2 linked regions of the Xenopus tropicalis genome follow. The protein of the gene in region 1 purifies or fractionates together with the protein of each later gene. This does not show direct contact. Links are inferred from orthologs where the notes say so. Each region holds a gene or a part of one and is shown in the gene's direction. Other genes may lie near its edges.

Region 1 (3,926 bases):
TCACTGACCTCTGCACCCAAAAAAAAGTTTTGTTCTGTAAGGCTACAATTTTATTGTTATTGATACTTTTAATTACTTGTCTTTCTATTCAGGCCCTCTCCTATTCATCCTCCCCATCTTATTGTAGGAAAGAATTTAGTCAATTATATCAAACATATTTGTGCTAAATGGAGCATTATGTGTCATTGCCATCATATATGATAATATACACAAATACAGCAATGGAACTGGGCTTTAAATGGCCCTTTTCAGCATGGAGTTAATAGAGTGAGGGCAGGCACTGACAATTGTTTTCTGCTCAGAAGCTCATGATTTTACTGTAAAACAAAAACTGTAGTACCGTGTTAGCCAGTGTCAAAAATAATAATAAAAAAACAACAAAACACAAATACAAGATTATTGTAGAAATGATACCTATATTGGCTAACAATAAAAATACATTGCAAGCTTTCGGACCACAGGCTTCAGGACATGAAGGTGTTAATTCTAAAAGGGAACTTTGGATCTGAACGAGAAAGGAAGATCTATGAATTCAAATGTATGGAGTTATTTAACACATTAAGACAGGGCCTTAATTTGGGGTCAGGTTTCATGTCACACTATCTGATCTGACTGAATCCAGACCCCTGGACTATTTACAACCCACCCTAATAAACCTTAATTACTTTCACTATCTTCACAAGTTATCTCTATCTATCTGTAACTTCCTAATTTATTGCTTGTAAACACTTCTCTCTGATCTATCAGTATAAATGTTGTGCCATTTCAGTTCTCATTTGTATTTTGCCTGATGAAGGGGCCTTAGAGCTCCGAAAGCTTGCAATGTATTTTTATTGTTAGCCAATATAGGTATCATTTCTACAATAATCTTGTATTTGTGTTTTGTTGTTTTTTTATTATTATTTATGATTTTACTGTGAAAGGAATTTTTCTGAACAAACATCCAGGGATGAAGAATAGAACCCAAATGAGCGTCAGAACGTTCACTGTCCACCTAAATAGTTAGCTTTTCTTGTATCCCTTTTCTGCAGATAACTACAGGCTATATACATTAGTGTTTCACTCCCATATTAAAGCTGTGCACAGTTTAAATATAAACGGCTACATACATGGAACACACAATCTCTGTGGGACAGATATTTGTCTGAGATGATTAGTAAAATTGCAGTTCTGTACAGCAGAGGGCAGTAATGCATCTCCCTCCCAATGTCGTAAGTGTGACTTTCCCTGGATGGAATCTCCCTTCTCATCTGTTACCTTATATAAGGGGGGAGAAGGATAATGTGCATCAGTGTTAACTGAGCTCTCAGGCAACACAGGACATTCTGGGACTTACATCCAATTTCGTTACTTTACCTTGGAAGCTAAGAACCAAGTACATTCTTTTATTGAGCAACTAGAATACAGGCACCTCTAGCTTTTATTAAGGATTCCATATGGAGACTGTAAAACTATTCTCTGTTCTGGCACTGTTCATTGCAAGTAAGAGAAACCATTTCTATTTAATAATTTTGGCTGTGTGTTATAGTATGTGCAAAACTTATATGTATTAATAATCATTAGAATAAGGAGAAAGTTTGTTGCAAAAACTGAGCACATTTCATTCAACGAATTTCATGTATCTATAAATTGGCAACATATTTTGCAGGACTGTATTTAACATATAGGCTGTACAGGCTGTTCTGGCAATAACACTACTTCTGTTACACCACAAAATCTGTCCTTTTAGCCGAGATACTTCTTTGTAGGCTGCTGCAAAATTGATGTCTCCAGCTTCAGACAATAACAATTTGTTTTAGCAATCTGAAGCTATGATTTAAAAAAAAAAGAAAAAAAAGCAAATTTACAATTGTTGTGTGGCTGAATACAAAAGCCATAGAAGAGTGAGAGAATTCTTTAAATGTGGGTCTGATCATTTAATACTATACAGGGAAAGAGTACCCAGTGCGTAAATTAGTTTTCCATACTTTCCAAGAAAAGATAAGACTGCAGCCAGTGTAGCCAGCTCTATCTACATTTTTCATAAGTGGAGACCATGTGTAACGTAATGTAAGTTAAGAACGTGTAGGTATAGTTATAGTATAGTTTCCCTTTAAAGAGAGTAGGGAGTTGAGATGGCACAATTAATGAGTAACTGAATAAACAATGAAGCAGTATTTCATGTTCACACAGAATATAATATTTTTCATTGAGAATGTGAGTTGATAAGTTGCCTTACTCCTTTTTGTATTCATTTCCCATGGGGGGCAATTGCCTTGTAATAATGTTGGATATTATTTTCAGTGATTATATTTTGTGCATCATAATCAGGCAGTACATTTCCCAGCATCCACCAATAGTAAATGCTAGGTGCCAATTAAGGACTTCAAAGTGGATACGCCTGTTATAAATTATGCTTACAAGTCCTTGTTGTGTTTCTTCTCTCCCAAAGCCTCGCTGGCTGAATTTCACATGTCCTTGGAACCTGCACAGAGGGAGATTTCTCTCCAGATTGGGGAGACATTCCAGTTCATATGCGAAGCATTTGATTGTCCCAATCCCACCTTTAACTGGGCAAACCTAATGGATAAAACATTAAGTGGCAGCGTAAGCACCGAAGGCAGCAGGTCTATCCTGACCATGCAGGTCAGCCATGAGAGTGAAGGAAGTTACCGGTGTAAAGTATTCTGCAATCAAATGAAAGCAGAAAAAAGCTTCACTATCAATGTGTACTGTAAGTCATTCTATCTGTACCAGTTGTTAAATCCTTGTTCTGTGTTTAAAAGTCCCTTTATGTTTTAGAGCACAAACCTCAATGCTAAAGAAGGCACTACACACATGAGAAAAGTGTTGGTGAGAAAGCTCTCAGGCTCAGAGTTCTGTTTCACACATATTATGCTAGAGCTGCATTATTTCCATTCCTCTGTTCTATTTTGGCTGTTGTGCTTCTGTGCAACACACTATGGTGTCCAGTTAAATAAAAGTTGCTTATAAAACAAGGACAGTTTTCTGTAAGGCCTAAACCCTGGGTCAGTGTTACACTAAAGAGTATCTGGACATGAGATCAAGCAATGTAAATGTGGGGTGTTTAGCCAGCAGCCTTCCAACTGTTACATCCCTTAGCAATTCTATGAAGCCTTTCCTGTTGGCTGGGTACCAGAAAGTGTAAAGTAGCAACTGCATGTTGGTGAATGGTAGATCTAAAGGTCTCAAGCATTATCTTAGGACCTGGGGTTTTCTATGTAAGTGTTTTTTTTTACAAATACTGAAACACGGTTAAAGAGGTAGCTCGCCCTTAAGTTAACTCTTAGCATGACATAAAATGGACAAATCTATGCAACTTTTCAACTGATCTTTGTCTTTTATTTTTTCTAGCTTTTCTATTTTTTTAATTATTTGTCTTCTTTTGACTCATTCTAGCTTTCAAATGGGGAATGAGGTCACTGACCCCGGCAGACAATAAACTGTTGCTCTGTATGGGTACAATTTTAGTGTCAGTAAAGCCACCCTACTGCAGGACCCAGTTGAATGCTCATTAGGGCTGGGAGCATTATTTTTATACATCCCCATATAACTGTGAATCTTCTGAAGTAGCTTTTATTGACCCAACAAAGGCAACTCTACAAAAGCTTTTTTTTTTAAAAAAAAACTATAGTAATGTTCCCAAGTTTCAAAGATGCTTTGGAAGTTTCATGCCAGTTTTCTTTCTTTTTGGACTTTCAGTATAACACAGATTATTTAATGCTTTATTGCAGCTTTCCCAAGTGATCCTGTTCTACACATCTCATCCCTTGTGGCTGGGGTTCAGTCCAATATCACCTGTACAGTCCCCCTTGTTTACCCCTCTGAAATGCTGAGCTTGAGGTTACTGAAGGACAAGGAAACGGTGGCAGAATATGACACATCAGTGGAGATATATCAAGATGGGGAATTCAAGCTAAGAGATG
Region 2 (3,826 bases), on another chromosome or scaffold:
TAATTCTGTTATTGTTCCCCTGGACTCCTGCTAGTCTGCACAGTGATGGGTGGTGCACTTCCTTCTCCATGCTGATAGCGCTGATATCTGCAGATGCATTGGCAAGGAAAGGTCCCTAATGAAATGAGTATTTCATTGAATCAATAAAGACTGGTTGTGTCCGTGTCTTGCTCAGGTGACAGCCCAGGATGTTCGGAAAGATAGCCCGCTTCTCTTCAAGTTCCGTGCCAAGTTTTACCCCGAGGATGTGTCTGAGGAGCTGATCCAGGACATCACCCAGAGGCTTTTCTTCCTACAAGTGAAGGAGGGGATCCTAAATGATGATATTTATTGCCCCCCAGAGACTGCAGTGCTGCTTGCATCATATGCCGTGCAGGCAAAGTATGGAGATTACAACAAAGAATGCCAGAAGCCAGGCTACTTATCAGGGGATAAGCTTCTTCCACAGAGGTAAGTGAAAAAGAAAAATCGGCACAGGGGGTGCAGCCCTGAGCAGGAGGAATCACTTTTGGTCTCCATTCTCTAGCTGCAGGATCTTCATCCTCCCTTAATCTAGCCTCACTATAGTGGGCGCAAATCACTCACTATTGAGTCTTAGCAAATTCTATTTGGTGCATAGTATTAATCTGTGTGTAAGTTAGGCATTTACCTGGTGTGATTCTAGTATGACTTAGCAGTTTGCAGCATGTTAAAACTATGTGCAGCAGTAATAAAAAATAGAATAATTCTAAAAACTACATCCACTACAGTTTGATTGTCATTTCATAGCATTGGCATCTCCACCTTAACGTAGACATATTTTAGTAAGTTACTGGGAAGATTTTTGCTTTCCAAGACAGTTGGCTAAGATGGCACATTGGATATTATGTTGCAACTGAGACAATTTACTCTCTGTTTTACAGAGTTCTGGAGCAGCATAAGCTCTCAAAAGACCAATGGGAGGAGAGAATCCATGTTTGGCATGAGGAGCACCGTGGAATGCTAAGGTAACATTTTATTGGTGGCTTGCAGCGCTACCTAATCCACAACCATGGCCTAAGCATTGATGTAGCAGGCAGAAATACAAAGCCTGTGTGTTCAATTGGATTAAAAGAATTGCACAAGGTAAAGTGTAAAGGCCTCAAGTCAGTGGTTTTGACTTTGTGTTTAGTTACTTTGCTTTCCACTAAATGGATCAGCACCTTGAAAAAAATATTAGAGATAGTGAAAAGGATTGTGCTAGACCTGTTTTACTGTTGTGGCTCTTATAAAACACTAACTCGGTCCCCTCGCATCCAAATCTACTCTGTAATTGCTCTAAGAATAGGCTTTGGGGAATACCTAATATGGCATATAAGCAGTAACCCCAAATCCCAGCAAGGGTTTTTGTCTTGACCTGTTACAAATGGAAAAAATTAAACAACAAACATTTTGTACTGTTCATCCAAATATACTTCTTCCCATAAAGATGTGTTGCATTAGCTGCCTAAAGAACACTCCTAGAGAAATATGTAGGCATAGCTGTACTAATACTTTAAGGATATCAAACATGGAAATGATTGGCTGTTGAAGTTAGAGACAGACAAAGACCTCTACATTCAACCATTTGTCCTGTGTGTGCAGGGAGGATGCTATTTTGGAATACCTGAAGATAGCGCAGGACTTGGAGATGTATGGTGTCAACTACTTCAGCATCAAAAACAAGAAAGGCTCAGAGCTTTGGCTTGGCGTGGATGCTCTCGGCCTGAACATCTATGAACAGAATGACCGGTAAGTTGCACCTCTCTGCTCCTGGACCAGTCGGGTTCCCTAATAGATCCAGAAAATGTGTCTGGCCAAACTCCAATTCTGGCGTAAGTAACTTTAATGACACCCTCTAGGAAGCCACCAAAATGAGAAAATTCTGTTCTCATGCATTTAAGTGCTATAAGTTAGCATAAAAATCACCCATTGTTAAGGCAAATTATTCCTGTACAACTTCCATCAGCGCTTACTTTATTGTACACATAGAGCTTTCCTTCTGTACTTGGGAAAAACATATCCAGATTTGCTTGGGCTTGCATAGAGATATAGAATGCTCTGTCACAGATTAGCTCCTTTAGTGCTTCCACATTGTGCCAAAATCTAGTTTTCTTTAATTCTTCTGCTATAATACTGTTAAAAACGAGTGTACTGTAAGTGTGACTGTGTCCCTTTTGTATCCAGGTTAACACCAAAGATTGGCTTTCCATGGAGTGAAATCCGAAACATTTCTTTCAACGACAAGAAATTTGTAATCAAACCAATTGACAAGAAAGCTCCTGTAAGTCTGTGAATTGGCCTCCCCTGTGCTATTGTGTGTTTACCTGCTGAGGTTTTGTTACATGGAATGAGTTTGGCTTGGAGTAAGGCAGATTAGGAGTCCCTAATCACTCACTGCACATAGAGAAAGCCATCAAAGAGACCTATATCAGTTACTAAACTTACAATAAGCTATTAAATGTAGGGCGAACATCAGGAATATTGGGGCCCAATATCAGTTATTTGGGACCATTCATGAACACAAAGGCATAATACCAAAATATTTGGCCATGTTCCTTATCTGAAAGATCATCAAGCAGTTAGGCATGGTTAGCTTGGACAAAAGGTTGAACATGATGTTGTGATCTCCAACTAGTGGCTCTGGGGCAACATGTTACTCACCACCCCGTTTGATGTTGCTCCAAGTGGCCTCAAAGGAGATGCCCATTTTCACATTTCTGGCTTGGAGGCAAGTTTGGAAGCACAGAGACACCGTTTTACTCCAAGCAGAGCCTCCAGCAGGCCAGAAGTACACATTGAGCTACCAAATAGCCAATCGCAGTCCTTATTTGGCATCCCCAAATAACTTATTTCATGCTTGTGTGGCTCACCCACACTTTTTAAATCTGAGTGTGGCAAGTGACCCAAAAGGTTGGGGATCCCTGACTGGATGGATGTGTGTTTTTTTAACCACAATTACTATGAATCAAACCCATTTTACTGAAAAGCTGCTGGAAGTGAGGACTTAGGAACTATAGGGGGCCCAGTGGGACTCTGCATTATATGTTTATTGATCTTACTGTGGGGCCCAATAACCACTGCTAAAATGTTCATATAATTCGGTAAATTGATCCCAATATAATTCATTGGGGGTCGGTGGAGTTTGTCCTAAGTTTAAACCCTTCCCACCTACCTGGCCCTGCCACATTGCTCTGCCTTGTCACGTTTCCAAAAGTGGAGGAAATTGGCTTCTACTAAGGGCCAGAGCTAAGGGCTAGAGCTGGAGGATGTTTTGAGTAGTGTTCATGCACATGCTCCATGAAGTCTGTTCTTGTTTGCCAGGACTTTGTGTTTTATGCTCCACGATTACGGATAAACAAGCGGATATTGGCCCTCTGCATGGGGAACCATGAGTTATACATGCGCCGCCGAAAACCCGATACCATCGAAGTGCAGCAAATGAAGGCCCAAGCACGAGAGGAGAAGCACCAGAAGCAGATGGAGAGGTGACGGAGAAACCTACATTCAAATAGCCAGGGCACTTCCATAGAAATTTAACATAGGGGAAATGGGGCATAACTTTCTGCTTCATTATCTTTTGGGATCTGTACTTTTTTATGCTTAATTAGATGAAACCATTTGTTAAGTGATGAGACTTCACTGACAGAACCCAAGCGCTTGGCTGCTCCATATTTGCATGGTCTGTATTGGATATAGGGACTTATATACCTAGTGCAATTTTGTAAATTCAATCAAATATTTATTGGATGATATAGGTAATCTGCAATTTAGCACCCATAAATTTACCCTGAAATTCTTTATACCACCTTAAGTCAGTGGGAAACTG

The links.
Region 2: the proteins of vcam1 (region 1) and msn purify together in Homo sapiens (affinity purification with western blotting; 3 studies listed by BioGRID, with this or other methods). This does not show direct contact. The link is inferred for Xenopus tropicalis from reciprocal best matches to the Homo sapiens genes VCAM1 and MSN.

Annotation. Positions count from the first base shown.
Region 1 is NC_030680.2:108,895,676-108,899,601, forward strand, and holds the start of vcam1 (vascular cell adhesion protein 1), read left to right. Parts: upstream 1-1,277; 5' UTR 1,278-1,436; coding exon 1,437-1,482; intron 1,483-2,431; coding exon 2,432-2,713; intron 2,714-3,734; coding exon 3,735-3,926. UniProt on the Homo sapiens protein: Cell adhesion glycoprotein predominantly expressed on the surface of endothelial cells that plays an important role in immune surveillance and inflammation.
Region 2 is NC_030684.2:40,641,451-40,645,276, reverse strand, and holds part of msn (moesin), read left to right. Parts: intron 1-175; coding exon 176-450; intron 451-902; coding exon 903-986; intron 987-1,602; coding exon 1,603-1,749; intron 1,750-2,184; coding exon 2,185-2,281; intron 2,282-3,321; coding exon 3,322-3,485; intron 3,486-3,826. UniProt on the Homo sapiens protein: Ezrin-radixin-moesin (ERM) family protein that connects the actin cytoskeleton to the plasma membrane and thereby regulates the structure and function of specific domains of the cell cortex.